Drosophila melanogaster: one gene and its partners. The protein of the gene in region 1 interacts with the protein of each later gene in a pairwise test. Each region holds a gene or a part of one and is shown on either strand. Other genes may lie near its edges.

Region 1 (8,885 bases):
GGCATCCGTTATGCTTTCTGCCCAAATTGATATTCTATTTTCGAGCACTCCCGCTCCCAGGCTCCTCCGACTGACTCCCAATCCGACTTCGACTTCATTAAAAATCGTGCCCCCAAATGGGTAAAGAGATCATCTAAATAAATATGACGACTATGCGACCGAGCCGAGTTGACTTGAGTTGAGTTAATGATGCCGGTGATGGTGATGGTGATGCTGATGCTGATGCTGATGCTGCCACAGCCATAATGGAGACACTCTGCCCCTCTTGACAAGCTCCCGACAGTTAGCTGCAGTTTATGAATGAATCCGAGGTCTCGTTTTCGCTCACTGCGATCGCTTCTAACTGTCTGCTTTGTGGATTTCCACTCGCAGTTTTGGCCAAGCCATTAGTGGTGCCCGACCTGGTCCAAAGGTCTCAGCCAAATGGCCGGGCAAAAGAGTGTGCGATCGAATCCATCCATATACCACCAACAACTAAGTAATCATCAATTATCACCGCCGTCGTCGTCGTCGTCGTCGTTCGCATTCATTCATATTCGGTCGGATGTGGTCGATCTGGTCAATCAATTTGGCTTTAACCCCGGACTCTATCTCTGTTTCTAGCCCTGGCTCTGGGGTCTCGGGTCTGCAGCCCAAGGGCTAGGAAGGCGATGGCGAACAGGTAGAGATTGTTGGTTCAACAGCTGGAAATCGCTTTCTCACACATCGATCCGCTGGCGGACTGACAAATTGCATTCCCCGGATTAATGATCGCCTAAATGGCGTTTAATTAATCGATCTGCTGACCCCTCTCGCCCGCCAAACTGTGTTGAAACTGTAAATTGCCGCTTAATTATATGTAATTATATTCGCATTTTTTATATGAGCACGGGGTGGCCAGGCAGCTCAAACTGGATCTGATCTACATTCGCAGGGGAATTAATTTATGCACTCAATTAATTAGCCATTAATTGTCCGTGTGCTGTTATACTGGTTGCTAAACATAAGTTTTTCAGATTAGGAATGGATTGGTATATCACATCATATATACTAGCATCGGTTTACATCTCTTGAGTTCGATATCGCAGGTGACCAAGTCACATAGTTATCCATTCCATAGCCATTGATCCAGCCGCAACACTTAGTCAGCGTATCGAGTTGCCCCGGCTATCGTGGCTGGGTTTTCTATGGAGTTCACACAGCGAGCAGATAAAAAGTAAAAAAGGAGCGGAAGGTGGGGGCATACATACACATATACATATATTTATGTCAAATGTGTAATTCCCAAATCACTTAATACTCATCAACTAATGAGGCCTAAAAGCTTCGGGCGGCGACGGATGTGTTGGACAATAACAACTTCAACTAATATCCATATATGTATCTGTCGGCTTTGTGTGGTTGTTGCTACTTTTGGGCTGCGCGCGGCGGTTTCTCTATCTCATTTATTTATTTTGAAATTGTTGCCAGTACGTATTTCGAATTTTGTGTTCGGGTTCCCATTTCTCTGCCCGCCCTCCGCCGGCTAACGTCTTTTTTTTCGGCTAAAACACAAAATGCAGGAAATGGACGTGTTAACAAATAAACGATGTTCCCCTGTCCAATATTTGCCAATATGTGTATCCATGAATTAAACACAAATTTCACTTACAGGTGAGTACGTTGTTAGAAAATCAAATGGGGCTCAGTTGGCGGCGAAAAATGGAAAGTTCAGAATGAAAAAATTTGCTCCAAACAGGAGTGTTTTCCCTCGAAACAGGAGCTTCTAAGATCGATTTTATATTTCCCTCGAATTCCTAAATATTCCCGATGAATTCATTTGACTGCAACTTCCCTTAGATCGCGCCCAGAAACACCACCACCCCCCCCCCCTCTCCACCCTCCTGCCATTTTGCCCCACGAATTTGACGTCGTCTCATTAGTCACATTTAAAATTGTATTTAATTACTTTCTCACTTCATCATCAGTCAAGTCGGTGGGTCGGACGTCGCCTCGTCATTGGCGTTGCTCTTCTCCTCCTGGGCTGGCTGCCAGGGGGTGTATTCGTAGTCGTAGGGTAGCCTCCCCTACAGACACCCAGATACAGATACATATACATTAACAGATGCAGATACAGATACATGCCGCAGCGTTCGCGGCTTGTTTGTTTCACAGACAAGTCGGCCAAAATTGATATACTCAGCTGCACACAGGAAAATCAGTTCAAAATATAACTTACTTTACACACAAATAAATAATTTGAAGAATAAAAGTCATGAATTTTAATTTGCATCATTTAACTGAGTACCGTAGCGTATTTGTTTGCATGCATAAAAGTACATCCGATTTTCTTTCAGTGTCTGGATCCACTGCCGCTGCTCTTCGGCGGCGCTGCCTTTCATCAATTTCAAATTAGTGAAAATCGAGAAACGGAAATTATTTACTATCTGGATGGGTGGCTGGGTGCGAATGTGGATGTGGCTGTCTGTTGGATGGGTGGCAGCAGCAATCTATCCATCCATCTATCTACCGCCTTGGCCATTACAAGTGCAATTTATCTCGCAAATCATTAATCAACCTACCGTTTGCCTTTCCCTTTCCCCCTCCTTTCCCATCCATTCCCAGCCCACCCAACGCCTACCTTCACCCCCTACTTGGCAATTGTTTTTAGCCCGTTTTTGTGTACTTATTGGCAACAAATTTAAAAGGGCACAAACTTGGCCCCTCCCATTCGATTGGGAAAATCAACAGGACGATTCGGCGAATGAAAAGGGCGGCGCTCTTCAATTGAACCGCGCATAAAACTCGATTGAAAGATACGCCAGTGAGCCAATACAAGTGCGCAAAACTAAACACTAAGCTACAAAAGCTAGAAACAAAAAGGTTGTCATTTATTTAGTATCCAAAAGTCTTATTTACTTCCTAAAACGCGGGTAAACAACTGCACATATTATTAGTAATACATCATTATTAAAGTAACTTACTAAAAATATACATTTTATTCGAAAACAAAAGCACATAAACCTGTTAAATTGCGTTAACAAACGTGCTAGGCAGTGTATCTGCGTTTTCTGCCCACATTCTGCGGATACAGATACACGAGCACACCTCTGCCTCAGGTGTTCGTGTGTGTGTGAGTGTATCGGAATGAGCGAATAAGAAGGCGGCGTATTGCGCACACTCTCACACACACACGAATCGGGCATTGCATAGATTGCGATTACAATTTTAATTTAATTGACCACCTCCCCCACCCCCTCCCCTAACAAACGATGGAACGGCCATCCGATTGGCTGCGAACGAGTTCGGGGAACGAGTGTGAATTGGAACGTGCAATTCCATTCGTTCGATTTGAACGGCCGTTCCGGCAACATTTGGGAATGTTGCAGCAACTTGTTGCTATTGCTGTGAGATGGTGTCGGTGTCTTATTCGCCAGTTTCTTGTTCGCTACTCAGACCGATTTGAACTTTCGAGTGAACGAGACGAGTTCCGTGCGGTCGGATAACGGCTTTTCAAATGGACACATCACTGTAATTAGATAACGTCGCAATGTGGATTAATAACAATCGTGTTCTGTGTGTGTGAGCGTGTGAGCAGTAAAACTCTTGATCCATAATTAAAGTGAGAAGCATAGAAGTCACTAGGAACCAAATCGCACTAAACAACCGCAAGCAATTGCAAACAAACAGAAAGGCATAAATGCAAGTGAACGGTTCTTAAGCGCACTCTCCTGTTTCTGTTTTCCAACCAGAATAAAGTGCAAAGAGGATCGACGATCACAAGTAACGGTTCGCGCTCACAAAAAAAAAAAAGAAATCAAATGCTGGCCGCAAAGTAATGCCATATAGAAGCTAAAAACAACACAACAAAAGTGTGCTGTGCCAATTAAACTTCAGCTAAGGAAATAACATCAAAAGTATCAAAGGTCTGCGCAGGTCTTTGATCAACCGCAACATTCGTTATATTCGTCATATTCGTTATATTCGTGACATTCGAGCAGGGTGATCCAATTCGCCTCAATGCAACTGCGAGTGCACCCTACTATGGACTGTAGCGGTCGTTCAACCAGCAATATTGAACGCGATTCCGATCTGGGGGACGATTTGGTAAGAAAAGGAACTTTGTAACACCCAATATGCACCTCTACAGTAACGCCCGAAGTTATTATTATTATAAAGGATTATTATCTTCTTTGAAAAATTGATGTGACAAGCACTAATCAGCTTGGCATTAAAATAAATGTCATACATTCAAGTAATAAACTTAATTGGCATAATCATTCTCAGTAGAAGTATCCAGGTGAAAAGTATGTCAGTAAGTGCCGCTAAATTACCTCTTTATTATCACATCGTAAAACACTGATATGAAATATACAAATGAATTATGTAAACAAACATGTAGCATTGAAATACAAATAATGAAGAAATATACGGAATTCATGGTTATTGCTAACAATCAGCTACTGATGGAAACTCATTCATTTTCCGATAATAATTCTCAGAAGCATTTCGAAGTATTATTATTATTTTTACCAAATGAAATTTGTCAAGCACAAAAATTAATAAGATAACCCACCTTTCATCTATCCATCATATATGTATGTATAGAATCTGTTTTGTTTTTTTCGCGACCGTCTGGTAATTTGAGTTACTAATGCATCAATATCCATTTGCCACGCGAAAAATAGTATTAAGTCTTGACACTGATGGGCCAAGATACCCTATTCAGTCTAAAAAAAATGAAATACCCATTTGCCGTCGGCACTTAGAGGAAATCCTTACCCAAATGCCCAAAAGCGATCGCTTTTTGGCCATAATGATCTCTTGTTTGGGTAGCAACTTATACTTCAGCTTTGTTTTCTGCTGTCGTGCTCGAAAAGGCAAAGGCAATTCCTGCAACCGACTCACATTGTTTGCAGATGATTCAAAACGTAATTATAATGTTAAAAAAATATGTTTATTCAATCGGGGAATGGGAGATTCAAAACGGAGGGAGCTGGCTCTTTTGGCTTTTTGGCGTTTCAGTTTGCCGGAGAGCCGTTAAAAGGTGACATGCTAAATGGTCGCATACAAGACGATTGTGTTGTAGCGACACACTCACGTCCAGCGCGATATACACTCACACGTTGATCGAGCTAAGTGCATGGCACACTCATAAACACAAATAGATTCATCTGTTTTGGTCCCACAAAACCGAGCGATCGGCGTACCGACATCCCGAGATCGTTCACAATTTCCACCGATTGAAAGAGATCTTTCAATCCAAGCTCTTTGATGGCGTTCATATGTAAATAGATTGTTCAAATATTTGCATTATTTGTTAGTACCTTAAATGAATATTAAATGGGTTTTATTGCCTTTCAGGCCTTTCGGCCATTCGCTTTCAGGTATGCAGCTTCATCTCCATCTCCATCTCCATCTCATCGCGACTTCTTCAATTCAATAAAACTCTTGTTAGTCTTTTCCTGCCCCTTTGTTTTCCTTTCATTTTTATTATTGTTAATAGACATTGCCGGCTCGATCAACAATGAGCCAGACTTTATACACTCACTCACTGGCCGGCCGGTCGGTCTGGCTATTTACATAATAATTTTTAATAGCCTCGCTTTTGGCCAAGAAGCGAAGGCGGCGGAGACGCAATGGGCTGTGCAAACAGCGACTGAATCTCGGCTCTCCAGGCCGGCCTATTCGTCATCCCCCCGGATCGATGCCGATGCGATGTGTGCTCCTTGTGGGCCTGGACTGGTGTTAATTGCGGGTCTCTCAATTGAGGGTCCGCATGTGGGTGCTGTGCTGTCTAATTAACCCCACTGCGATCCGGACCGACATGCTGGTGTCATTCGCACATCCGATCCGCAGTTCTATTCAAATCAAATCCTGCCACCGCCACTCGCCGCTCGCATTTTCAATTTTAGCCCGAAAGTCACGATTAAACAATAATGTGGGCTGTCAAAAAGTCATAAATTCTCGAATGAAACCCAGTCCCAGCGAAGAAGTCGTGCCCAATGGTCCATGGTATATGGTCCAATGCCCAAATGCCCAAATGCCCAATGCCCAGTATCGTCATCCGAGCAGCACTTTAATTACATGGGTTAAACGCAGAGTTTAAAATTATTGCCGAATTGTTGTCTGTAATTTTTGAATCGTTTTTAAATTAAATCAAGCCGGCGAACATGACTCGAGACAATTGGCTTCCGATTCCTCCTCCAGCGCCGGAGCAGCTGGTGGATTCACTCCGAGCGCTGCACGTGCTCCAGGCGCAGTTCCCACATTAAATCATACCGGCCTTGGGTTGGGGGAATCCCCCCAAAAAAAAATCTCAGTGGTGGTTAACTGGTGCCGCTGCTGGTGTTTGCACTGATTCACACTCCGGCTCCGATTCCGATTCGGCCAGCGTCGTTTTCCACATTTATTTATGACCGCTTCAGTGCGCCAAGCCAGAAATTTTGGAAGAGTTGTAAACTTAATTGCATCTTAGTTCCATGGGAATGCAGCTCAAGCGCAGCTCAAAGGTCTGGCATTTACAAATAAATAAGTACAGTAAGAACCCTATGATTTGTATCAAATGAATATTGCATTACATTTACGCTTACTACCGAAACGAGTTAACTGTTTCACACTTGGCTAACTGGCGGGCTAACTGGCTGATGGGGTTGGCTTACACCGCATTGGGGTGCCTGTCCCCTTTTCCCTGCGCCACTGGAAGCAGAAATCATTTGGGTCGGTCGGAAGCGGCACCTGTTATAATTTGTTTGGCTTCTTGTACGCTGACAGCCAACGATTTTTATTAAATTCTTTGTGGGGGCTACGCTCCTCTTCTCCCCCCCCCCCCTCCATCCTCTTCTTCTTGCATAACCAGAAGTCAGGGGAAATATTTGATTAAGTATCTGGTGGGGCCTTTGGGGGATAGGATGGCATGGCATGGAATGAAATGGAATGGAATGGGTTGATTTTCGGTGGCGCTTTCCACCGCAATGACAAGCGAAATTTGTTTTGCTTTTAGTTTGCGCGCCAAGGGGGCGCGAACTTGAAACTGGCCAAATGGAGGAGGGGATTTGTCATTTGGATATATGTATGTATATTGGGGGGAAAAAATTTAATTAACTACTAATGCAGTTGGCGGCACTCAAAAGTGCATGGCGACAAATGTCAGAACGGCACAAAACGCCAATGAAAACAGGGCCGTAAAAGCAGAAAGAGCTCGTAAAAAATATGATTATTATTGGCAGTATTACAGTTTGCGCTTTTCGTATTGTTTTTAATGAATTTATGAATTATTTTGCCAACCATAGCTAATAAAACTGTTAATTGGATTTTTCCAGTACAGCTGCCGATTGCGAAAAGCGCCACGAAAAACGATCGCGAATCGCAAAACAAAATGCGAATTTGCGAGGGCACGAACCGAGTATCTGTGTGTATTCCTCTCTGTTGGTGTGTGTGTGTGCGTGTGTGTGTGTGTGCTCGGGGGCCTGGATAAAAAGTGTATTTATCATCGCGCTAATAAAACCCTGCCCTCTCGCTTGCACCGCACATATCGCCCTCCCTTTCGCCGAATACAAACAGAAATGGGCGTGCCAATTGGCCAACGAGAAAATCGCGTGAGCGCCAACAAATTGAATAATCGAGCTGGCAAACAGCAAATCTTAATTTGGCATTTGGCACTGAAAAACACATCCTTGTTTGATGTTCGATGTTTGCCTGTTTTCCTCACTTTGCACCTGCCACAATTGACTAGCCCTGCCACAATTTTCGTATAAAGAAGCCAAGCAATTGCAAGTGAAATTCATACGTAATTATTATCGATTCGTAAGCGATGTGTTTTTTTTTTTTGGGGAATTAAGCAAAGTACACCCATTAAAATTGGGGTATTAAGCATTTAGGCAATAAGTATCTGAAAAGAGCTTCTGCCATATTAGCCAAGTAGTGTAGTAGCTATTTGTGTGTGCTTGCTGGCAACATTTCCTGATTAACAATGGTGGAAAGTGCGGTCTTAGGAACTTTCCTCATGTGGCGACACCCAGTCATAAAACACAGATATATTTCGGGCAGGCGACTGTAACAAGCCCTGCGCCACTCGCATCCAATAAAGTGGGCTCTTTTGCCGTCCAGACGGCCAACAATACCTCCAGAGACCAGGAGACCACGAGACCCAGCGACCAGGCCAAGAGACCAAGGCAGGCGGACTTGCGGGCTGGCCAAGGCAATAAAATAATGCAGTTTTTAATTATTGCCGCCTGCAATCGAAGCTAGACGCAGTGAATCCACCCCGCAGCCGGATGGGCACAAGGAGTCGGGTCGCAAGCGCTGGAGCTTCGGGAAGTGCGACTCTCGCAGTTGGCCGGCCAGCCAGACAGCAGGGGCGTAGTTTGAGCCATGTTTGGATCCATTATGATTCGTTTATTGGTTTTTGGCAAGAGTGTAATTTAAATTAGCTAATACGTTTTCTATTTTCTGCATTGTTTTTACGATATGCTGTTTCCGAAACCAAAGAAAAGAAGAGCGAGTATCTTGTACATAGTCTCTTTGTATGCTCCGCTTTCTAGCGCCCTTTGTGATTGAAAGACCGACTACGCCCCTGGCGAACGTAGAACCCAGCCCAACTATTGCCGTTTAACCGTTGCGTTCCTTTTTTTTAACCGGTTTTGTTTTTTTTTTTTTTTTTGTATTTGTATCTTTTATTGTTTACGCGAAACTTTTCGTCTGCCCGCCGCGCTCGTTTTACATGGGCGTGCGTGCTAAAAAAAAGGGTTAAGGGGGTTGGCTTGAGGGGGGGGGGTGGTGGTTGAGGTGGAGGAGGCCTGTACTCTGTACAGCCAACGCCATTATGTTTTGCCATTGTATATGCGTGTGTGTGTGTGTGTGTGTGTGTTTGTTGGCCCGCTTTTGTTGTTTCCATTTTTATATTTTATTCGCCTTATTTTTTCCGC
Region 2 (7,379 bases), on another chromosome or scaffold:
AATTGGAATGGCCTGACCAATAGTAATCTGTTCAAAAGGTTCCTCAGCTTTGGCGGTGCGGGTCTCGCCGGCGGCTCAAGCGGCGGTGCAGGAGGTTCGCCCAGTGGCAATGCTCTGGGAGCCGGCGGCTCCGGCAACTTCCTGCTGGATGTGGTGAGGGTAAGTACCACACCCGTTGGCTGAACTTTCAACCGTTATCCAGACATCTAATTGGTATACTTTACTTCCACGAACAAACAAACAGCTCTTTTCGGGCAGTGTTCAGACCCAGCAGGGCGATGAGGCGGCCAACTCGGTGGGCGGCAGTGCCGGCAGCAGCAGTAGCAGCGGCAGTTTGGGCGGCGATGGTGACGCCGATGGCGATAGCACTCGCAACGCCGATGGCTACACCGAGGGCATTCCCGGCCCAGTCACGCGCCTCGTGGTGCTGGCCAATCGCGGTCTGGCCAATCTCGTCCAGGATTTGATTCTGGTGAGTAACAGTAACTAGGGTTTTATGTGCTATTAATCTAACGAAATCTATGTTACCTACCCGTTTGCAGCGCGTTGCGGCCACCAGCGAGAAGTTCGTGAACTTCAAGGCCAAGCTGATAACGGCGCTGATCTAAGGTCAAGGGTCAGCACCGGCCACGCCCTCGCCCGAATTAGTCAAGTCACCAACCTGTACAGAGTCAAATGCAGCAGATCATTCTCTCTAACTCGCTAGCCCCAAACGCCCCGAAAGTCTGTCTCTATCTCCCTCTGTCTCACCCCAGAAATAACCCCCTTTCCAATGCCCCACACACCCACTCACAACAACCCCACACACACACACACACACACAAACACGGCCACTCATTCACACGGAGAGAATTTTGTTCGATCAAAGAAATTTCCCGGCAATGTCAACATCTTTTTTTTAAATTCATAGCAAATTTTTTTATAACATAAACGAAATTAGTTAAAACAAACTAAACACAAAAAAAAAATTATAAAACCATAAGCAAAATTGGCAGAAAAAAAAACACGAATCAAAGAATTTTATTTATATGTATCAATAAAAGAAACAAAATCGAATCGAAAGTATGGAAACAACATTCATATGAATATGTTTAGAAGAAGAAACGCCTGATACAATTATTCCTGCCCTAGTACTATATCTCTATTTTCCCTGACCCGTCTATCCATATCTTTAAAATTTTCAACGGCTTTTGTAAATATTTTGCTATTTGCAAATTTTCCCCCACCACTTTTCCTAAACCCAATTTCCCTAATTTGTAATTGACCTCTTCTCTCCTTTTTGTGTATATTTTGTGTTCTATTAAAAAAAATCATGACTGTGGTGTTTTATTTACTATTATTTTTAATTATTTTAAACGAAAACGAAACGAAGAAGATGAATGTGAAGATAATGATGATGATGATGATGATGAAGAAGAAAGCTAAGTGGATGCAGAAGACACGTCAAGTTTCTATTAGATGAAATGTAGCCGAGCTTAATGTTTTTTTTTATTTGCTGTTGTTGGTCAAAGAGCCCCAAAAACACCCATACACAAACACGCACATTCACTGAAGCATACTCAATATATAAAACCGATTCGATATGCCTATTATATATATAGAACCGTTCTTGTTCGACTTCCCTGTGTCCCCTGGATTTGTTTGTAACTCCCCATAATCCTAAGCGAATTGTGTTTTTCTAACTATGATTTTTTTCTAGCTAGCTAAGTGAAACTTTCGAAAAATGTGTATAAAATAAAATAAAATGATTATAAATATTTCATATTCTGTGTATTCCATCTTTTAAAAAGGGGAAAATGTTCATTTATAGACTGAAGTATTCTAAAATATATTTGCAATGGTCGGCATAGAATGAGTTAAAGTGGGTTAAAACTAAAGGAATTGCCAATTTGAACGGGTAATTATCAAGGCTAGCCATTCCTACCACTTTTTTGGCGGATTTAGGGAAATTGAGTTTCGAGTTAATTTTCATCAAAATTTGTAAAAAATGGCCAAAAAATAGAATTTTTATTTGTGGATACAGTTCGATTGGGAATTTAAATACGATCACAACGGTGTATGGCATTCCATATTCAGACAATTATTTTTAAAGTTGTGGCAAAAAAACTGATTATTTGAATGAACGAAATTCGGAAAAACGGATTTTGCCAAAAAGTTAATATTTACAAACGGAATTTTCGTCATAACTTGGCTGAAAATAGTCATATAGATAAAAGAATAACTGTTTTGAGCAGCAATTACCAGTGCTAACGATCCCTATCAATTTTTGAAGAATTTAGGAAAATTAATTTTTGGGCATATTTTCTCATTTTTTATAATCGTCAAAATTTGCAAAAAATCGGAAAAAAATTGAATTTTTATTTTTGAACACAGTTTGATTGGGAATTTAAATACGAGCAGAATGAGATATGGCATTCCATATTCACACAATTATTTTTAAAGTTGTTGCAGAAAAACTGATTATTTGATGACGGAAATTGGACAATTCCTAAAATTCGATGTTTGCGAAGCGGATTTTCTTCATAACTTGGCTAAAAATGATCGTAGAGATAAAAGAATAACTGTTTTGAGCAGCTTATTACCAATGCTAAACATTCCTATCCCTTTTTGACGGATTTAGGAAAATTAATTTTTGGGTAAATTTTCGCACTTTTTGTAAGGGGTAACATCATCAAAATTTGCAAAAAATCTGAAAAAAATTGAATTTCCATTTGTGAATACAGTTCGATGGGGAATTTAAATACGAGCACAACGGTATATGACATTCCATATTCAGACACTTATTTTTAAGGTTGTAGCAAAAAAACTGATTATTTGAAGACCAAAATTCGGAAAAACGGATTTTGCCAAGAAGTTGATAATTACAAACGGAATTTTCATCATAACTTGGCTAAAAATGCTCATATAGATGTAAAAACAACTGTTTTGAGCAGCTAATTCCCAGTGCTTATGATCCCTATCAGTTTTTGAAGAATTTAGAAAAATTAATTTTTTGGTCAATTTTTGCATTTTTTGTAAGGGGTAACATCATCAAAACTTGCAAAAAATTGCCAAAAAATAAAGTTTTCATTTTTGAACACAGATCGATTGCAAATTTAGTTACGATTTCGGCGAGGTATGACATTCGCTATTTGGACAAATATTTTTTAAGCTGTGCCCAAAATACTAAATATATTACAGTTTGCATGGGAATTTAATTACGAGCTTAGAAAGGTATAGCATTCCATATTTGTTTATTTATTTGTTTATTTTCAATGTTTTGTACGAAATCCGATTTCTTGAACTTTTTGTTTGAAAATACGCAAAGAATGCATTTGATTAGGTGAATAAATTTAATAATATCGTTGGCAAGCCATCCATATTTTACGTTCAATTAATTATACTACACTATGATGGCCAAGTATTTTAAAATTAAAAATTAATGTGAGAAATGTTTTTGGGCAATTAAGAAACGTTTGCAAATATTTGTACAATTTCGCAGTGAGTTGCTTCGTTGCACACCCTCTCGATTTTCTCGAATCTGGTTTATAAATATCTGGATTATCCATCTCGGCACATTCCATACAAAACTGCGTTGCTTGAGTGAGCAAATGAATAAGTGACTGAATGACTGACTGACTGACTGACTGACTGACTAACTGAATGACTTACTGTAACGCATGCGTGGCATGTGTGCGGTCCAGAAAAACCAAAAACAAAAATAAAATAAAATAAAAGTAGCGGGGGAGGGGAAGGTCAGGGTCTAAGTGCCACTTCCGTTTTCCACAAGCAAACAAACAAATTGGCCCAACAAATCGCCGATGGACAAATGGGGATGGATATATAGATGTTACTTATCCTTGGTACGCCAGCCACTTGATGCACAATTAGTATCGCACAAGTGCCCGGCATTCTTCACTTTTTGTTTTGACAAGTGCACACATTTAGCGAAGAAAACGCACTCGTTATTGTTTCCCATCTTCACGCACAATTTGTCGTCACTAGCCGATGACTTAATTCATTTAGCAGATCCCAAATATGCAGCCGGGGCATATAGAAGTGGATATAGTCATGGGCTCGGCCATAGAGTCCGTTCAGTTGCTCGCCAATCGCCGCTGCTAACGGATGGCGGTCTCATCGTCCTCGTCGTCGTTTTCCAACTACTTGATGGCGGTATTTGCCCAGGATAGCAATAGTAGTGGCAGTGCCAGCGGAAGTGGAGCAGCCGCCGACTCGGAGGACTCCCAGATTGGCCAGGAGGCCAATCCAGGTGGCCAGGAGAATCAGGGAAATCACAGGAGGCGACCGCCGCGCCAGAAGATCAATGCTAGAGAGCGCTATCGGACATTTAAGTGAGTAAAAAGTATATAAATGTTAATAAGCAAAACATAGCCCTAGTTGAAAGTGTATTTATTAACAATTAACCATTTAATATTTTCTTTTTTTCCTAAACAAAATCAGTGTTAATTCGGCCTACGAGGCATTAAGAAATTTAATACCCACGGAGCCCATGAATCGCAAGCTTTCAAAGATCGAGATCATCCGCCTGGCCAGCAGCTATATAACGCACCTAAGTAGCACCCTAGAAACAGGTTTGCTTAAAAAACGTTATTCATATAAAAGTATACTAATTTGTTTAAATTTTTAAGGCACTGAATGCCAGCCATGTTTGCTGCACAAATACGAGAGCGAAGGAATAACTAGACGTATCAGTATCTGCACCTTTTGCCTGAAAACCAAATGAAATTAATTATTTATTGGATATTTCTAAGAATATTTATATAATTCGTCGTATCTGTTGCATTTAGGAAATCGAATTGGGCGCCCAATTGAAGCGCCACCTATGGTAATTTTCTGGAACGAACTTCCACCGAATGTGAACTGCTTGCCACAACACAACTGCTTTACTAAGCTGTTGTAGTTCTTCAACATTTCGATCTCTTGTGTAGGATAAAAATAAATTAAAATTAAATTAAATTAACTATAATATTGAAATCTATTTAAAAATTGGTGGTGATAAGAATTCAAAATCAACACGAGCAATTTAATATATGTCGCTAAATTGTCGCCATCTGTGCGGATGTTTTCCACAACTGCGCCACCTGTACTTCGTTAAGATGACTAAAATTAGTAGCTAGATCTGAAGTATCAAATATATACATATAAAAAGAAAACAAAAAGTAAGCAGAAGGCAGCTTAAGCAATTTTATATATTAAATAATTGTTTGATACACATTACTTCATTTTCTAACAACTGTTAGTGATAGAAGGAGATTTTAGTTTAAAACACGCGGTAATTTTTAAATAGCTACAAGCTAGCTAAATAGCAACGAGGCGCCGGTGTGTTCATAAGTATTTTACCACACGCAGAAAACAGTCACTCTGTTCCCGCCAAATCATTTGTACGCATAACTGAAATAAAGTAAATAATTTGATTTAACAATAACAAATAGCCCCTTCGATGGCCACCAAACGCGTGCTGACGCCTAATATTTTGGAGAATGATAACACTGACGTGACGTCATCCAATCCACAAAAGAAATTCAAAGAGCAACTGGATTTTTCGTCAGACGAAGTGGAGAACATTGATTGGGGTGACAATGATGACTTCGATTTGGCGCTGATTGCAGCTATGGATTCTATATCCAATCATCGATTGGAGCTCACCAAGTGGCAGCGTTGCGAAGTGGTGCGGCTGGAGCAGCTCCCCAATAGAAAAGGCCTTAAAGTGCATGTTAAGAGGATTTCTGGCGGGGATCCGGAGACAGCTGATTGCCAACTGCTACCGCCGTGGAATTGCATGCCAATGCAAGTTGGAGACACTGTCTCCCTGTTGGGCAAGTGGGATCCGTCTGCAGGATGCTATGTGGTCGATAAGGAGCAGGGCTACTGCGTGTCCCATCCGGATTTCCTCATTTCCGGCACCACAGTCACCGGTTCCCTGTTTTGCAAACGGAAATCTGTTCTGCAGGAACGATTTCGCGGTCTGGACTCGGGAAACTCTGTTGTGAGTACATCTCGATATCAGCATAACCCAATTTATCCAGAATGTATTCCATTTCAGATGGTCATTGGCACTCTGGTGCACGAATTGCTGCAAAAGGTTCTACGCCAGAAGCTCTTCGATAAAAAACACATTCAATCTGCCCTCCAGGAGATGCTGGCCAGCTCTTCTTTGGCTCATTTACTCTATGCCAGCAATCTCATCCAGGTGGAAATGGAGGATCATCTGATGAAATTCATTGATCCCATTGTCAGTTTTGTGGCCCAATATGTGAAGGGTGAACCGCCAAGTGTTTTGCTGCCCGAAGTCTATAGAGGTCAAATCCACGAGATATGCGATATAGAGGAGAACCTCTGGGTTCCACAACTGGGACTCAAGGGTAAGGTGGATGTCTCCGTAAAGGTAAAAAATCAACGGCAGAGGGAGGAGATCATACCACTGGAACTGAAGACCGGCCGAGCCAGCTTCTCCATGGAACACAAGGGCCAATTGCTGCTCTACCAACTGATGCACTCTGCCCAGGGCAGGGATACTCAATCGGGATTGCTTCTGTACCTCAAAGAGGGACTCCTACGAGAAGTTGCTAGCGGGAGAAACGAACAGAGGGATCTCCTTATGTTAAGAAATGATCTGGCCTACTGGCTAACACGTGAAGTAGCCATTCCGGCTAGCAAGGAGGATCCACTGGAGCAACTGCCGCTACCCGAACCCGTTTACCATCACAGCGCCTGCGGCAATTGTGCCTACAATACCATTTGCTCCAGTTTCGCCCAGAAGGATTCAAGTTTACAGCTAAGCGACTCACATCCCCTCAAGAAACTCATGCCACAGCTATTGGAGCATCTAAGTGAGGCAGACCATGCCTACGTGCAGCATTGGTGTGGTTTGCTGGCTCTAGAAGAGCAACACAATCGGCAGTCCTCGCATGTGAGGTCTTTTTGGACGAAGGACCCTGCGGAGAGAGAAAAAGAAGGCATAGCCATTCGACATTTGAAGCTAGTGAAGGGTCAAGAAGTGATATTAGAAGAGGGACGCTATCGCCAGACCTTGGAGCTCGGTGAAGAGGCAGATCCCAGTCGAGATCTCAGCCTCAGTGGGGTATGTTTTGCCACAAAATCCACAGATCACTATATTCTTATCTCAACTCTTTCTTTCAGTTCGACTTGGGCGAATATGTTGTAATCAGTTCCACATCCCGTTTGGCCGTTGCTGCTGGTTTTATTGTATCTATAGAAGCTCGTCGTTTGGATCTTCGGCTGGAGAGGGATCTTAGCCAGCGTTATAGCGAGGAGACCTTTATTATTGATAAGCACGATTCGCAGTCCTTTGCCACTTTTAACTTTACCAATCTTGGTATGCTGCTCTCCGAGGGAGAACGCTTCCAGGAGCTGAGAGA
Region 3 (8,542 bases), 2.6 Mb from region 1:
ACTTCTGACGCATCTCGTCGGTGTACTTTTGCGGATTGTCTTCTCCACTGTCGTCGTCCGAGCTAAAGAACTTCGGTGGATCTGGCGGATCGAGAGTGTCCCATTTGCTGGTGGTAATCGCCTGCGCTTCTACTTGCTGGGGATCAACTGTCTCCCACTTTGAGGGTATGAAGCCAGGCAACTTAGCCGTAGATTTGGTTTCTTTTTCCAACGGTACACCGTCGAGATCATCATCCACTGGAATTAAGGATTATTTACTTAGTAGTAAGAAGGTTTAAATCACTTTCTTATGCTTACATGGTATGCCATCGATTTCATCGAGGTATTCATCTTTCTTAGGTGTGTCACGCTTTGGAGTACCAGCATCTGCATCAGGTATGGCTCGCTTCAAGGCGCTCTTAAGCAAAGCAGCTCCATCTAGTGGCACTCCGTCTAGATCCTCGTCGTCCTTTTCCTCTCCGGAAAGGGGCGCACCGTCGATATCTTCGTCCAGAGCCTCATCAAATCGCGTTTCCTCGGCTTGAGGTGAGTTATTGACTGGCTTGACGTACTAAACACAAGATTCCATTAGACTACATGCACAATTTGAAATGAATTTCATTAACTAACAGGTTTGCCCAAGAATTTGGCCGTCAGCTGGGCCATAAAATCCTTGGGATAAATGGTCCATTCCTCCCATGTGCGGATAACATTGCAGACTCTGGATTTAAAGCCCTCAGCTTTCAATCTACTCTCGATGTTCAAGTAGTAGTTATGCAGGTTATCAAAGATGTCCAACAATTGTTTTTCCACACTAAATAATAGGGGATATTTCAATGTGTATGCTTTGATAAACATATATACATACGATTTACGGAAGAACGAAGCATTCGCAACTTTAACAGTGCAGTTGTGCAGTATATCTGAGATCAGATAAAGTCGAGCAATCTTCTTTGAAGCCAATGTATTGATATTTGACAGAGACTCGGCGATGCACTCGCAGATTTCATCAGCCGCATCTGCGTGCTCAATGCAGAAGATCATGGCATCTCCAATGCGGGCGCGTTCAGGAGTTAAGTGCCTAATCAAATCCTCGAGTCGGTTGCGTTGCCTATTTCAGTATACATTTACAGTACAGTAAACATTTATGTTTCGAGGATTATCTATGCTAAACGTACGCATTGGACAAGGCTCCTTTGTGCACCACAGGAGCATCGGGATCAACAACCAGCTCATCTGGCATGCCTTGAGTGTAGAAGTTGGCAATCGGGGGCTTCCAAACCGGTCCGTTTTTAAACATACGGAATTCCTCCTCCCGCCATTCATTGGGCGTATCGCCCTGTAGCAAAGAGAACAGCTTCCATCGGTAGTAGATGTGGGCAGGACTCTCGTTGTCGAAGAGGAACGCAAAGAGCGGATTCTCCATTTCCCGAATCATGATCAAAGCCTCAAACATCGGTCCCTCGCGTATTACAAACTCGATCATCCGATGGATAACATTAAGAACAGCCCTGGAAAAAAAGAAAAGCACAGTAACGTGAGTTCTTGTTAAGTGAATGTCCTTGGTGCAATTCATACTTCTCTGTGGGTATATGGACTTTAACGACGCATTTGGCAAGTATCTACAAAATTGAACATTTTCATTTTTATTTCTTTAGACGCTAGCAGGTGATTATTCACTTACCCGCTCCATATTCTCTTTGTCCTCTTGGTTGAACTCCTTGTAGTTTTTCTTGGGCAGCACATCAGCTTCACTGGGTGGAGGTTGGGCATTGAAGGGCAATCCTGAAGGAGGCGGAGGCAGGGTCATCTCAAGCAATGCTTGCGGTGTAAAAATGGGCGTATTCATTATGGGCACAGTCTTTCCTGAAATATTAAGTAAGATGTATGAGGAATAAGAACTTCAATATAAGATCTATAGATTACCCCATCCTAGACGCATCTCGTAGCCCATGATGTAGCGCCCGTTCAGTGTCTTTAGGGCCCTTTCCGCATCCTTGCGGCTCATGTAGGCCACAAAGCCGCAATTGCGTCCCCTTTGCTTCTCCTCTTCGGAGCGGGGCCACATGATCTTGATACTGGCCAAGGGACCGTATCGCCCAAAGATTTCCATAAGCTGCTGCTCGGATATCTTGGGGTTCAGGTTGCCCAGGTACAGGTTTGTGGTATTTGGATCGCCCGTGTCAAACGAACCAGACTCCTTTGAGCTGCTTGAGTTCTGGGAGGTGGTGGAGACACTGCTGCTGGGCACAGGAGCAGCTGATGCAGCCGGTTGCTGTGCTGGTGCGGAATGGCTTGAGGCCATGTGCTTGTACTTGTGGCGCTCCTCACGCTCCTCTTGAATCCTGTGGGCATGAAACAATTAGTATGGAATACACACATGCACAACCAAGTGGGCCTACTGTCTCAATTCCTCCTTGAACAGCTCCAAGTTGCTCTTTTTCTTCTCCTGGTTTTTCTTCTTCAATGGACCCGAGTCCTTTTTGAGATCCGAGGCCAGGGTCTTGGCGTAATCCTCGACCTTGTCCGAGGAGCTCTTTTCCATCAGCTTGGAGACCGGCTTGTATAGCTTGCCCTTCTCCGACTTGTCCTCCCGCCGGGATCCTGCATCATAGGTGCCGGCTTTGACCCAAACTTTCGAGGAGGGGGTGGGTGCATCTTGGAAAGTCTCTACGAACTCTTTGAAGGCCTAAAAATCGTATTGGATTATAATGCGTGGAGGAGGGATTTGCTAGAGGCGCCTACATGTGCCGCAGCAGCTGCATCCTCCTTTTTTTTCTGGTCCTCGAGCTCTTTTTTGGACAATTGTCGTTTGGAGAAGGTGCCCACCGTGAAGGCCTCCAACTTCTTTTCGCTTATCCGCTGAAAACAAGACCGAAAAATGTTAGGCTCGTTTTTCCGGCTACACAGGACACCTTTACTTTTAAAGTGGCGGATGCGGCAGCCGAATCCTTGCTTTTATTCCCTTGTTTACTCATCTTTTCCACACAATATGCACATTATCAGCAAATACGAAAATAGGAAAACCAACAATTTGCCAGTGTGACCGACGTCGTACAACCAGTGCACAGAATGAACAGCGAACAAATCACGATGCAGCCGATAGTTGCGATGGGAGTTATCGACAGAGCTATGTAAATGACTACTTTTTATTATAGTTTTATCAAATAAATGCGAAATGGATATCTGCCGCCTCTGTTTACGCGGAGTGAGCGGCGCCCAGATGTGTCTACAGATCTTCGATGTGGACTCGGGCGAGAGCAAGGTGGCGGAGGTGCTGCGCCAACATTTCTGGTTCGAGGTAAGCTGCTGCCCTCCACCCACTTTTGTGCCTGGGAATCTTTTTTTACCACCATCTCGTCTCCGGAACGCGTACAGGTACTGCCCAACGACGAGATATCCAAGGTTATTTGCAACGTCTGCTGGACGCAGGTGTCCGAGTTCCATCAGTTCTACGTGTCCATACAGGAGGCCCAGGTGATATACGCCACCACCTCCAAGTTCAAGCAGGATCCGGAGATGGTGAACACCTCCTGGCCGGAGGAGGTGCTCATGCCGGCCGACGTCCTTGCCGTCGACAACGATGTCGGTGCGCAGATAAATGTGAATCCCCTGGACGAGTTAGACCTTAGCCAACCCATGTCCCCGGAAGACAGCAAGGTGGGCATCAAAACAGAGCGACAGTCACCCGACATGGAACTCCTCTTTGAGGATGCCAACAATGAACAGGATGAGGACTACGAGGACGACGAGGATGATGACACCGACGACCTGATCGTGACCCGGAGTGGACGCAAACGTAAACGGGACGTGGCCAAGCCGGCTAAAACGAAAAGAGGAACGGTGTCGGTGGGCAGAAAGGGGAAGGAGAAGATGGTGGTCAAGCGGGGACCGCCCAAGAGGATATTCAAGATGGAACGCCTGCCGCCGTTTTGCAAAGAGGACGAGGAACTGATCAAGCGCTACATAGTCATGGGCTGCGAGCTGTGCATATTCTTGGCCGAGGACTTCGACGGCATCCGCGAGCACTTCAAGGACAAGCATCCGGACGAGCGGCCCTACATCAAGTGCTGCGGACGCAAGCTCAACAAGCGCTGCCTCATCCAGGAGCATGCGAGGAGGCATGAGAATCCCGAGTACATCAAGTGGGTCTCTCTTACCCAAACCAATTCGAAGCGATTTGATAATTAGCTTTCCTTTCCGACAGATGCAAGGACTGCGGAAAGGTGTTCGCCAATTCCAGCGTATTGCGTGCCCACTGGCTGGTCCACCATGTTCCAGACGAGGAGTGCGACTTCCAGTGCGAGGACTGCGGCAAACGCTTCTCGCGACGCAACCTGCTCGAACTGCACAAGGGCTCCCATGTGCCCGTAAATGAGCGCAAGTTCATCTGCCCGCAGTGCCCCAAACACAATGCGTGAGCCTCGCCAGCTAAACGGCAGTGTTTCCAATGCTTATCGTTCTCCTTTCACACCACAGTTTTGCCACGGAGTACCACATGCAGGTCCATATCAGCATGCAGCACCGCAAGGCGGCCAATATCTGCCATGTGTGCGGCAAGAAGATCAAGGACAAGGCTGTCTTCGAAAAGCACGTTCGCCTGCACTTCGAGGAGAGCGGACCACGGATCAAGTGCCCGCGTCCTGACTGCGAGAGCTGGCTGAAGGACGAGGACAATCTTAAGCAGCATTTGAGGCGCCACAACGACGAGGGCAAGCTGTTTATCTGCTCAGAGTGTGGCAAGAGCTGCAAGAACTCCCGCGCGCTGATTGGTCATAAGCGCTACTCCCACTCGAATGTGATCTACACCTGCGAGCAGTGTGGCAAAACCTTCAAGAAGGACATCAGCCTTAAGGTTGGATAATACATATTACCCTTATTTATTTATGTGTTGTATTAAAGCGATTGATGTTTGCAGGAGCATATGGCGCAGCACACTGGCGAGCCACTCTACAAGTGTCCCTTCTGTCCCCGCACCTTCAACTCCAACGCCAACATGCACTCCCACAAGAAGAAAATGCATCCGGTGGAGTGGGACATCTGGCGAAAGACGAAGACCGGTAGCTCACAGAAGGTCCTGCCCAGCGCCCAAGTGGCGCAAATGTTCCGGGACGATGCCGATGTCGCAGCTATTGCCAATGACTATTCGGGTTAGGCCCGGAAATGCTTAAGGAAATCGATTTGCGGAAACCATTGCTTAGTTTTTGATTGACCTTTGTTTGAAAACAAAATATATGTATAATAGGAATTATTTGAAAGTACGAGCGGTTTGTTGTCATATTGGTGGGATTTTTGGCTATTTACATTTTAATTAAGTTTTTTGAATTTAAATGTTTCATTTAGCTACATTCAGAAATATTGTTTTTGAATTTAAAAAATTTACAGTGTGAATGTCTTGAATTTTTCAATTGGAAAAAAAAGGTATGATGGTTGAAGTATCCGCTTTGTTTATTACAGTAGACTGGTCACACTGCCAGCTGCTAAAATAATAGAAAACAGTCTGCGTGGACAAACATTTAATTAAAATGAATGTAAGCACTTTATTAACGAAATCTTTGGGAATATTTCGCTCATCAGCATTTTATTTGAGCAGGAGTCCGAGATCCCCATCGACATACACACGCTGAAGCTGCAGGACTGGCTGATCAGCCGCAGAATTGTGCCCAAGAATGTGCAGCAGGAGCTTAGGGAGATCCACAGGAAGATTAGCAACGCCCTGCAGGACATGCCCTCCAATGAGCAGCTGATCAAGCTGTTGGCCCGGACAAGTAGGTGCCCAGTGCCCAGAATGCCATCCCACTAATGTGTCCCACTTGCAGATATCAACTACTACCATGTGAAGGAGATCATTGAGATCCTCAAGCAGACGGAGAAGGACACCAAGAGCGTGTTCGGCACCTACGGCAGCCAGCGCATGAAGGACTGGCAAGAGATTAGCCGCCTGTACGAAAAGAATGCCACCTACCTGGCCGAAACGGCTCAGATTTTCGTGCGCAATGTGAACTACGAGATTCCCGGAGTGCGAAAGCAGATGGCCAGGCTGGAGCAGCAGGCGGACGAGACCCAGAAGCGAGCGCACGATCTGAACAAGCCCGAGAGCCAAATCCTGGCCGACCACTCGGCTTTGCTGGAGCAACTGGGCGTCAAGGGCGACAATCTGCATGCCGAGTTCGTCCAGGTTCTATCTGGTCTACCGGAACTATACGATAAGTCGCTGGTGGGCATTGCCAATATTCAGCCGGGCATCGACCTGTATGCGGAGGTCAGCGGCAACAAGCAAGTGCTGCCTATCCTGAACCACCTGGTGGAGTTTGGCAACACCACCGTGTACCAGTACATCCACAAGGAAGCACCCTTGGCCGTCGAGGAGCCGCCCATTCGGCTAAATCTCAGCGAGGGCAACGCCAGCAAGGATGACAATGCTGTGGCCGAGATTGACTTCGGAACGGATGACAACGGCGGAACTTCGTCGACCGTTTCGGCTGAGATTATCGACTACGGGGACTTCGGCAGCGGGGATTTGCCGGAAAGCGACGGCGGCAACATCGACTGGGGCATTGAGAGTGCACCCACCGATGCGGTGGAAATCAATTTTGACATTCCCGTCGAGGAGTACGGCATCGTGGTGGAGGGCACCGGCATGGATGGCGGCACTGCCAAGGGTAAGTTCTTTTATTATACTCGATTTTATGATGGTTAATGGTTTGTTGTTCCAGGCGATCAGGCCTACACTTTGCTGGACTCACCCAACTATCGCGATCGCTTCCTGGACGAAATCTACGAACTGGAATCCTTTCTACGCATGCGTATCTACGAGCTCAAGCAGCTTGAATCCTCCAGCGACATCATGTTCTCGCTGATGGACAACATTGCCACCCACGACGGTGAGAGCATCTGGAAGATACTCGTGTCCGTGGAGAAAATAATCCAGCAGACATCCGACAAGCAGACGCAGCACCTCTTCCAGCTGAAGCACTCCCCAAAGTATGCCAATATGCTGGCCACCAAGCTGCAGCAAATGACAAAGGCCGTGGAGAAGCTGCGCGCCACGCGAGAGGCGCTCAAGCAGTTGACCATCGAGCTGCGGGAGCAGCGGCAGGACCTGAATCCCGTGCTGGAGGAGCTGATTGCTCAGACTCGCACGCTGCAGTCTCACATCGAGAAGGATATATCCAAGCGGTACAAGAACCGGGTGGTTAACTTGATGGGGGGTGTTAACTAATGTAACTTTTTTATGGCTGTTTGTTAAAAATAAACTGGTAAATGGACAAAGATGGTTTTGTAAATTTTTTAAAAGAAGTTTATTTTTATTTTGCTATTTTTATTAAATATACAAATTTTATTTATATTGTGTTCTTTCTTTTAATTGCCATTTTGCTTCTCTCTTTTTTTTTTTTTGTATCCAGAATACAAACCTAATTTTAGTGAAGTTTGTTGATTTCATTTTTCGTTCTCTTTTCTTTTCTTTTCTTACTTTTTTTTTTGTTGCTTTTGTTTTGTTCATAAAAGTATGCTTACACAGTTAACGTTTTAAACTTTCACTTAAATGTAAAATTCTTATGTTGCTGAATTTTAATAATGTGTAAAACAAGAACAACGCTGTGATTAACTTAAATGTTTTGGGGGCCTGTGTCTTGAATATAAGGAAATTCATCGAGATATATTGATTAAACCGGATGTACACATATGTATGTAGATGTACATCTAGAATGGTAGAATGGGGGAGCTTCAATTAAATCGGAAATGCTATAGAGTAGCTATACAAGGTTTGGGTGTAAAAAGCCACAAAATGTCGGGGTATACATTGGGATATCAACTAGACTTAGGCACTAATCTAACAAAAGTGTGGCTGGCGGTAATCAGCAGAAAGGCTTCGTAAGTATAATCAATTCGTTAACTAAATAGAAAATAACAAGCACTATCGAAAATACAATTAATTATACGGGGAAAGAGGCCTCATGATATGGTTACAACTTTGTGTGGTCAAAGCGTCGTGTACTTTTGTTTTCTATCTATCTTTCGTCTCCGTTTGTGATGCGATTTGTTTGCGATTAAAATCAATCATCTCATCTACAACTTGGGCGTCTCTCTCTCGAGCTTTACATAGATATCGTATGTACGGATATACATAATGTTGGATTGTTTTGATTATACATAAACGCACGCGTATTTGTATTTGTGGTTGCTGCTGCGTTGCGTTCATAACTCGTATGGTAAATGTTAAATAAGCATAAGATTTGTTCGAAAGTTGCTTGTGGTTGTGGTCTGTCTGCCATTATTGTATAGTTGCTTAGCCTAATATATATGCTTCATATAATTTATATATGTATATTTATTATTTATACGGTTTAATTTAATTCTTGCTCTTGCCTCGCCTCGCTTAGGTGCTACTATGTATATGTCTGAATTTATTTATGTATACATGCTTCTCTTTATCTGATGTACTTTGTAAATGATTACTTTTTTTTATACACGTATCATAGCGCCGGTCGGATTAGATATTCTGAGCTCATTCCGCTCTAATCTTTATGTTATTGCTCTTAATTTCAAAAAAATAATGTGT

What was found.
Region 2: the proteins of retn (region 1) and CG33557 interact in a two-hybrid assay, tested with the Drosophila melanogaster proteins (one large-scale study listed by BioGRID).
Region 3: the proteins of retn (region 1) and grau interact in a two-hybrid assay, tested with the Drosophila melanogaster proteins (one large-scale study listed by BioGRID).

The regions. Positions count from the first base shown.
Region 1 is NT_033778.4:23,629,200-23,638,084, forward strand, and holds the start of retn (retained), read left to right. Parts: upstream 1-3,410; 5' UTR 3,411-3,978; coding exon 3,979-4,065; intron 4,066-8,885. UniProt on the Drosophila melanogaster protein: Transcription factor which is a downstream target of gcm and repo. Directly or indirectly activates the transcription of locos and pros, which are essential for the development of some glial cells.
Region 2 is NC_004354.4:10,005,131-10,012,509, forward strand, and holds CG33557 (uncharacterized protein), read left to right. Parts: upstream 1-4,079; 5' UTR 4,080-4,104; coding exon 4,105-4,331; intron 4,332-4,440; coding exon 4,441-4,571; intron 4,572-4,628; coding exon 4,629-4,723; 3' UTR 4,724-4,919; downstream 4,920-7,379. Other genes in the region: Dna2 (DNA replication helicase/nuclease 2), read left to right, coding at 5,441-5,986, 6,044-7,081, 7,141-7,379.
Region 3 is NT_033778.4:21,006,461-21,015,002, reverse strand, and holds grau (grauzone), read left to right. Parts: upstream 1-3,081; 5' UTR 3,082-3,157; coding exon 3,158-3,280; intron 3,281-3,357; coding exon 3,358-4,124; intron 4,125-4,186; coding exon 4,187-4,396; intron 4,397-4,458; coding exon 4,459-4,834; intron 4,835-4,897; coding exon 4,898-5,134; 3' UTR 5,135-5,239; downstream 5,240-8,542. Other genes in the region: CG9346 (uncharacterized protein), read right to left, coding at 1-237, 298-550, 610-793, 848-1,090, 1,158-1,490, 1,558-1,601, 1,664-1,845, 1,906-2,324 and 3 more; CG30291 (uncharacterized protein), read left to right, coding at 5,505-5,510, 5,573-5,747, 5,799-6,641, 6,696-7,201.